2 linked regions of the Nothobranchius furzeri genome follow. The protein of the gene in region 1 purifies or fractionates together with the protein of each later gene. This does not show direct contact. Links are inferred from orthologs where the notes say so. Each region holds a gene or a part of one and is shown in the gene's direction. Other genes may lie near its edges. The genes, in order: vps4a and zfyve19.

Region 1 (4,274 bases):
ACACTCTTCCGTTGTCGGACAGTCTTGTGACGAGAATGCTCAGGGTTGTCCATCATTTTCTTGATTCTCTGGAGAATCCTTCTTTGCATTATCTCCTCCAGCGGTTCCACAGTCGTCCCCAGAACAGAACCAGCCTTTTTTATTAGGCTGTTGAGCCTTTTCAGGTCCCTGCTTCTGATGCTGCTACCCCAACAGACGATGGCTGAAGAGATTACACTCTCAACAACAGACTTGTAGAAGATCTGCAGCATCTTGCTACAGACATTGAAGGACCTAAGCGTCCTCAAGAAGTGCAGCCTGCTGTGTCTCTTCTTGTAAACGGCTTCGCTGTTCTTTCTCCAGTCCAGTCTGTTGTCCAGGTGAACTCCAAGGTATTTGTATTCCTCAACCACCTCCACTTCTTCTCCCATGATGGAAACAGTGTTTGACTCCACCAGCTCCAGTATGTCATCTTTCTTATGATTTAGACCAAAAGGAAACCGATTATTTGTGTTTAATTGGGTTTTATTTGGAGGTTCTACTGGTTAGATTATAGGGATAGAGTTTTAAAAGACTAATCCATAGATGTGGTAAATTTAGTCATTATGGTATTTATTTATTGCCTTTAGTAATGTCTCAGCTCTCATCAGTTTTTCATTATTTATTAATACTTGTTTTATGAATGTTTTAAAAAAAATTATACAAGCTAGGTTTTGAATGTCAAATTTGTCCATTTTAGAGCTTTATGCATTACTGTTACAGCTTGTTGGTGAAGATACCATTTATTTAGAGTCCTTACGTTTCTTTAACAAAATACTGCAAAGCTTGAAATTAAACGGGCACAGAATAGTATCACAGCAAGGTAACACCAAAGGGCAATTTATTTATTTATTTCGTATAAACGTGAAAACCGCTTTTTGAATGTGACTTATTTCGTTCCTCGTGGGATTTTCCCTGTTCAAAAATTTCAACGTGCGTTGGAACTAAATTAAAAACTTGCTGAAATAGGCTTATTTAACCTATTTTTATTTTGGTTTCAAGTGTAGTTGCTCACTTTTACCGCTAGATGGCAATAACTTAAGTTAAACATTCGGAAGACGTCACGTTGGTTTCCTTTGACCGGATGTTATCTTGTTTTATTTTTAAATTAAAAGCCTGTGCTTTCGGAACAAACTTGTTTAAGCGTAAAAAGTAAATTTAAAAATATAACTACGCAAAGATTTTGAGTATTAATTTTATTTTGTGGTTTTTTTGTTGAAAATTGCATGTGCAGCTTACACACCTGGACCTTGATTAAAGTATTTTGAAATCTGTAACCGGACGTTTGTCTCTGTGTTAGCTAAATTGCTGAAAATAACATTAGCGCTGTTGCTACCGCGCTAGCCACTGTTCTGTATTGTCATGTCACGAATAATCAGTGCCTTTGAGAAATAGAGTTGCAAGCGTTAAATTTTTTTTTCTTGAATCCAACTTTGGGTAGGGTCAGAAAATAAAAATCTGGGTGGCGAACGGAAGAGTGAGATGAAATGACAACGTCAACATTACAGGTAGGATGCTAACGTTAGCGGTCTGTAACTGGATATAACCAGTAGCAGCTTGTCGGTCTTAAGCTAACCTTTGAGTTTTAGCTAATAATGTGTATTAAATAAAAGACAATACACTGGATACTTGTAAATGAACGTGTAGTCTACAGTTGCAAACTATCTGCATGAAAGTGATTTGAACGACTAGACAAGCAATTAGCTATAATATAATAAGCAATTGGCAAGACCTGCATCTATTATTTACTTGTAATGTAGGAGCTTGTTTCCATTATTATGCATGTTTTATTTTATTAGATCTCGCAAGAATCATTCTGCAATATCTAGATGTTAGTGTTTGTCTTCTAATTGCATTTTCATAGCCGCTTTTTATTTCAGTTGTTGTATCTTCACCGATGGATCCTCTAATATCCACCCTTTCTCTGTGTCTACTGCAGAAAGCGATTGATCTCGTCACCAAAGCCACAGAGGAGGACAAGGCAAAAAATTATGAAGAGGCTCTGCGCCTGTACCAGCATGCTGTGGAGTATTTCCTACATGCCATCAAATGTAAGTGAAGGACTCCGGCACCTAACTGTAACCAAGGCGTGGTTGCATAGTTAGCTGATGCTGTGATCTTGTTGTCCAGATGAGGCCCACAGCGACAAGGCAAAGGAAAGTATACGAGCCAAGTGCATGCAATACCTGGACAGAGCAGAGAAACTTAAGGACTACCTGAAGAATAAAGACAAACAGGGGAAGAAACCTGTCAAGGAGGCACAGAGCAATGACAAGTATGGTATCACTTTAATTAGAACACATGGAATAATAAACTGTTGTCAGATTTTGTTTGTTTATATTTTCTGTGTTGTTTGTTTGCTCCAGGAGTGACAGTGACAGTGAGGGTGAAAACCCAGAGAAGAAGAAACTGCAGGAGCAACTTATGGGTAGGAGTGGTTTCATCTTTTTTTAAAGCTGTCTGCAGCCTGAAGGAAAAAACTATTCTTGTTCATTTCTGTTTCTTCCTCTCGGATCTGATCTGTTTTGCTGCATGTGACCCAAAATTCACTCTCAGTAAAGCACTTAGAAGGAAGGATACTTCCTCTGAGAACATTTAAATAAAAACATTTTACAGAAAAAATGTAATGCTCATCTGGCAGTGGAATGCTTCAACAAAACACAGAAGTTACGTCGCACTGAATGCCAGTCACCTCTGCTCGTAACTTGGATCTCTTATAAAAGGGACTGAGTGTGAAGGGAAGTTTAAATGAAAAATAGAGAAATCATATGAGAGTGCAGTAGTTTTGTGATGAGCCATGTCATCTTGGTCATGTTGTGTGTTTGTAGGTGCTATTGTGATGGAGAAACCTAATGTCAGGTGGAACGATGTTGCTGGACTAGAAGGAGCAAAGGAAGCATTGAAGGAAGCGGTCATCCTGCCCATTAAATTCCCCCACCTCTTCACAGGTGCTGTTTGATTCAGACTGGGTTTAGATCGTCTCTACAAGTTTCGGTTTCTTTACAACCGATGCACAAAGTAATGCCTCAAACACAAAATAGGAGGCATAAAAGCAAATTTAGTACTTTCTTAAAAACTAAAGCTCCTCTTTGGACATTTTTTTTTTTAACATTTTGACTTATTCCAGTCGTGACTTTGTTCTCAGGAAAGAGGACCCCATGGAGAGGAATCCTGCTGTTTGGTCCTCCTGGAACAGGGAAGTCGTACCTGGCCAAGGCTGTGGCCACAGAGGCCAACAACTCCACCTTCTTCTCCGTCTCCTCTTCAGACCTCATGTCCAAGTGGCTGGGAGAAAGTGAGAAGTCAGTTAGCAACGATGTTGGATGATGCTTTCTGTCACGCGTAACAACTTTGGCGTACTAAAGAGGCTGAAGTTGCTCCGACGTTTAAACTATATTCTTGGTCTCTCGCAGATTGGTGAAGAATCTGTTTGACCTGGCTCGCCAACACAAGCCCTCGATCATCTTCATTGACGAGGTGGACTCGCTGTGTGGCTCCAGGAATGAGAACGAGAGCGAAGCTGCCCGCCGCATCAAGACAGAGTTTCTGGTCCAGATGCAAGGCGAGTCAAAAAGGAGCTGTGCATGAATGTATTTCATCATAAACACGAGAAAATTATGTAGTTTTAACACTTTTTACACAGTAATTTCATTTGATTGCGTTTTAGATCATTTTTAAAAGCCAAACAGAGAATTATTTTCCTTTGTTATAATGAATAAAATGTACAACAGATAATTTGGCAGTATTATTATGGATGGATATTATTCTCATAACCATTAAATCTAACATATTTGAACAAAGTTTTCTCCTCTACGAGCTGAAATAAACGTATCGTTCATTAAAGATTCCTCTTTCTGTTTTTTGTAAGGTGTGGGTAACAACAACGATGGTGTTTTAGTGCTGGGAGCCACTAACATCCCCTGGGTGCTTGACGCTGCCATTCGTAGAAGGTCAGAGGTCACTTCATTCCCGCCGTTCTTTCCTCCTTGGCTCATGTTACTGGATTATTTAGTTCCAGCTGGTTGGTTTTGTGTCAGATTTGAGAAGAGGATTTACATCCCTCTGCCGGAGGAGCCGGCCCGGGCTCAGATGTTTCGACTTCATTTGGGAAACACGCCACACAGCCTGAGTGACTCTGACCTGCGGGAGCTCGCTCACAAAACAGACGGCTACTCGGGCGCCGACATCAGCATCATCGTCCGGGACGCTCTCATGCAGCCGGTTAGGAAGGTGCAGTCAGCTACTCACTTTAAAAA
Region 2 (4,420 bases), on another chromosome or scaffold:
GTTACTTCTGCCTTAGTCTAACAGAACAGCAGAATAAGAAAACTAGAACGTACAAATTTGATCCACAGATCAACATAGCGAGGGTCGTTGTGATACATTGATTCTTCTGTGAATCTGGTCACAGCCCGCTCCAACAATGTGGCGAGGTTGCTTTCTCTTCCACCCTGAAGGAAGGTTTGCTCTGTCCACTTGACATAACTGTAAAATCAGAACCGAAATTGTCCAGATGAGTGGGATAGTTAAAGATCCTTAACTTTAAGACAATATTTTTAAATATTTAACTCACCAATCCCAAACATGAAGTGGATCGTCTCCATCGTACATTCGAAGCTCAGACTCAAAGGCCCTAAAGAAGCAAAAGAGCAAAAAGTGCATTATATTTTAAACTACATACAAAAGATGTTCCAATTATTTTAGAAATACTAAAGTTTAATGGATTATCTTACTGTCTCTGTTGGTTGATTGCAGATGTGGGTCCATCTTGCTGCTGACTGAGGGCCTGATGTAAAGCTGATATTGCTCTGCCCCGCCTCAGCGGCTGGATGTTTTCTTTGCTAAGCTCCCAATCCACATCTTCTCCTTCTGCCATTGTGGAAATAAAGACCGGTGAACTGCAGGAGAAAACACATCATTCAATAATTCAGTACTAATTATACTTAGTTTATGCACCAACATCTGAGGGAAAAACACACACACACACACAAACTTGTAAGAATGAAGTATCTGGTGCAGACTGTTGCTGATACTCTAGAGTAAATTTGCACAAAAGCTTGAACATATTTGTAAACCTAGTAAATTACGTTGCACGTGAGCAAATACTCTACAATAAAACCAATGCAGTTCATTTCTGCTCAAAGCCCAAAAGCAAGCACTCTTCTTTCAATGCATTTTACAATCTTTCTTTTTAATGTTTACAATTATGACTCTTAATTCCAAAGCAATACATAAAACCAATTTTAAATATTTTATTGTTTTCAAAAATGCAAACACAAAGAAGTAAAAAGTAAAATAATATGGATGAAATAAGCAAATCCTGAATTAGATAACAGAAACTTTCACGATGCTAAAAAGTTAGCTACAAAAACACAATAAGCTAACACGTTAGCTAGTTATTTGTTGCTTAGCCGTGTCAATTATCCCAATACATAAAGATTTTCCAGTTAAAACTAGTATAGCGTTAACATTAATCGACTAACTGTGTGTTTTCATACCACTTTTAGAGTTTCTTTGTCTCCTTCGCCGATTACTTGCAGCTAACGATGAAACAGGGACAACGTTGAAATGGAGACCTGTCTTTTAAACAAATCCCGCGAGAGGATTTGGAGATAGCTGATTGGAGGAAATACATAACAGGAAAAATGCCAACTACTTCATACATCATTTCCGGTTTAGTTCCTGTTTTGATAATGCATCGTTGACAAGCTGAAAACAGATAGCTAATTCAGAAATTATTATTGCTTTAGCGCTTTTCTTCACCTGTTGGAATTACGTAAATTGTAATCTTACGGTTTCATGACGCTACACGTGACAGCATGGACAGTCGCTGTTATTGTTGTGCATCAAAGTTTAGTCTCTTCAAGAAAGAGGTATGGATTTACTAATAAATCAGCAATAAATATGTACGCGTTCGTGTGTTTGTGGACACGTGGTTAATATCTGGATTGTGCTGACTTCTATGATAGCTGGGCTGTAAGAGCTGTGGACGAGCCTTCTGCTCCAGCTGTTTGACTTTTAATGCTGTGGTGCCTCGCTGTGGTAACACCCAGCAGAAGGTCTGCAAGCAGTGCCATGGTAATTTGACAAGGTAAACCTCACCCGACACAATAAACCCCAAATTAATTATTTTCCTTTAATTATCTAAAACCTATTTTATCCTTTTTATTTTTAGAGGGGAGACTTCTTCACACAATGCTGGAAGATGGTCTCCTCCAGAAAATTACAAAAAGTTAGTGTTTGACCACGTTTGACAAAGAGGCCGTTACAGAAGTTTCATACTATCTAAAGTTCTGTTTTTTCCACAGACGAGTTGCTGCGCTGGAGGCAAAACAGCAAGGACAGTCGACTCAACCTGCCGTACACGGGGGAAGCAGAAACAGCAAAGTAGGCCATCTACCAGCAAAAGGCCTGAGTAAAGAAGACCAAGCTATTGCTGAGAGACTTCAAAAGCTGAAAGAGGACACTAAACCTAGTAATGAATTTAATCATCAAGCATTTAAAATAAATCTGAAAAATGCTAAACAGGATCTTTTAATGCAAAGCAATAGATTGCTTTTTAATCATTTCTTCAGGGTCCATTCCTTCAGAGAAGGAAATCGAGTCACGCCTTGCTGCTCTGAGAGTCCCCATCCAACCTGTTCCTTCTACAGAGGAGATGGAGAATCGTCTGGCTGCTCTGCGAAGTCATCCTCCACCATCTCAAGCTCCTGCTCCTGTGAGTTTTCCTCTAATTTCTTCTATCATGATAATGATAAATGGCCCACACTTGTATATAGGGCCACTCTGAGTAAGGACTCCAAAGCGCTTTACACTACAGTGTATGATTCATCCATTCACACAAACATTCACATCTTTACTGATGTAGCCACACCACACCCTCCGACCACCACCAGCAGGCAAGGTGGGTTTAGTGTCCTGCCCAAGGACACAACAGCAGAATTCTCAGTCCAGAGCGGGGATCGAACCTGCAACCTTCCGATTACTGGACAACCCGCTCATCCTGTTGAGCTACTGCTGCCCCAGTTTTCTATAATTGTTGTTGTTGTTTGTAAATGAAAATTTACTCTCAAACATTTTACCTGTTAAATTAAAGGTGGGAAAATATAAAAAAAATTGTACTCCTTATGCAGCTCAGCCATATTCAGTGGTTGGAAAAATGGCATTGAATTAAATGTGTTGCTAACAGAGTTCTTTAGTAACGTATGATCAAATTAATTACGTTGTTTCCAATACTGACAAGAAAATGTAGCACGCTACTATAATTCAGCAGCAAGGTGTGTTGAAGCTGACATCATGTGACCAGGAGCTAAAGGGATGGAAACAATCTTACATGTGCTGCTAATTTTCTTGCATAATTTATTTAGAAAAAGTAACGAAATACTTATTTTCCTGGTAATTAGAAACTTTTATTGCATTGTCATTCCATTACTGACTCAGTTACTTTTTGTAGTAACTATAGTAATTACTTTTTCAAAGTAATTTGCCGAACACTGGTCGTATTTTAAAGTGTTGAATAATTCAATGTAATGGTTTTTAATTAACTTACATGTTCGTGTGTGTGTGTGTGTGTGTGTGTGTGTGTGTGTGTGTGTGTGTGTGTGTGTGTGTGTGTGTGTGTGTGTGTGTGTGTGTGTGTGTGTGTGTGTGTGTGTGTGTGTGTGTGCAGGTGCACCAACCTCCTGATACCCGGACTCAGACTGAAAAAGCCAGTGACTTGTTAACCCAGCTGACGGAGGAAGTTGCCATTGACAACCAACAATCAAATCCTGAACTCAGTTAGTGATCACAAGGGTTAATGTGTTACCAAAAAACCTGTTTCAACAAGCTTTAAAAGGCAGAAATCCCCGTCTAAGTACAGCAAACACTGTCTTGCAGGCATAGATATGAATGATCTGAACAAGGGGGAGGGGGCTACGTTGGATGAGAACATGGAGGACAACCAGGGAGCAGTCAAACAGCTGGAGGCAGAGAAAGAGCGTCTACTGGAGGAGGCCATGAATGAGCTGAGGAACGAGCGACATACCCAGGATCAAATCCTCGACATGGCCAAGAGGCTGGCCCAGTTAAAGGGCCAGGATCCAAATAAAGGTGCTCAGAGCTGTTTCCACACCCACCTTCTCTCAGTCACGAGATCATCGCTGCAGCTATGACAGAACTGTTGATATTCACATTTTCATTAGCTGACATTTTGGTGTTGCACACTTAGTCACTGCAGAGGATTTCCAACAACCTGACAGTGAAGAGGAGACTGAGGAAGAAGCTGTGAGGAGAGTGCTAAAACAGGTCAGGGAGACGACACATTTATCACTACACCCACATGTTGTGGTTTACTGTTTTAGACCTTTTAATGGCTGCCACAAGAGGCTGCTGTTAGGCCGTTTAATAACTGGTAATGACAACTGGCATGCTCTGAACTTCCTGTTCTTGGTTGGCTCCAGCTCTCAGAAGAAGCTGCACTCGACGAAGCTAGTGGGTACAACATACCCGTAGAACAGAGCGGCCCGAGGAACACGGAGAAGAAAAAGACCTCTAAGAAACTAGTACAGAGCAGCAGACAAATTCACAACAGTTTCAAACCATAAAACATTTAAATGACTGTTAATCCGATGTATGTTAAAGACCGTAGCTCCCGCACCAAAGAGCAAGATTTCACCTGCTGCAGCTGCACATCTGCCGTCAGACAGCGATGAGGAGGAGCTTCCTT

What was found.
Region 2: the proteins of vps4a (region 1) and zfyve19 purify together in Homo sapiens (affinity purification with mass spectrometry; 3 studies listed by BioGRID and IntAct, counting the BioPlex papers as one, with this or other methods). This does not show direct contact. The link is inferred for Nothobranchius furzeri from reciprocal best matches to the Homo sapiens genes VPS4A and ZFYVE19.

Annotation. Positions count from the first base shown.
Region 1 is NC_091744.1:86,346,830-86,351,103, forward strand, and holds the start of vps4a (vacuolar protein sorting-associated protein 4A), read left to right. Parts: upstream 1-1,316; 5' UTR 1,317-1,505; coding exon 1,506-1,526; intron 1,527-1,957; coding exon 1,958-2,069; intron 2,070-2,148; coding exon 2,149-2,293; intron 2,294-2,384; coding exon 2,385-2,446; intron 2,447-2,846; coding exon 2,847-2,966; intron 2,967-3,163; coding exon 3,164-3,320; intron 3,321-3,431; coding exon 3,432-3,580; intron 3,581-3,886; coding exon 3,887-3,968; intron 3,969-4,055; coding exon 4,056-4,274. UniProt on the Homo sapiens protein: Involved in late steps of the endosomal multivesicular bodies (MVB) pathway. Recognizes membrane-associated ESCRT-III assemblies and catalyzes their disassembly, possibly in combination with membrane fission.
Region 2 is NC_091758.1:34,203,113-34,207,532, reverse strand, and holds the start of zfyve19 (abscission/NoCut checkpoint regulator), read left to right. Parts: upstream 1-1,391; 5' UTR 1,392-1,532; coding exon 1,533-1,586; intron 1,587-1,682; coding exon 1,683-1,804; intron 1,805-1,888; coding exon 1,889-1,945; intron 1,946-2,021; coding exon 2,022-2,188; intron 2,189-2,264; coding exon 2,265-2,431; intron 2,432-3,382; coding exon 3,383-3,491; intron 3,492-3,591; coding exon 3,592-3,804; intron 3,805-3,922; coding exon 3,923-3,999; intron 4,000-4,154; coding exon 4,155-4,256; intron 4,257-4,335; coding exon 4,336-4,420. Other genes in the region: bub1bb (mitotic checkpoint serine/threonine-protein kinase BUB1 beta), read right to left, coding at 54-198, 287-346, 447-589. UniProt on the Homo sapiens protein: Key regulator of abscission step in cytokinesis: part of the cytokinesis checkpoint, a process required to delay abscission to prevent both premature resolution of intercellular chromosome bridges and accumulation of DNA damage.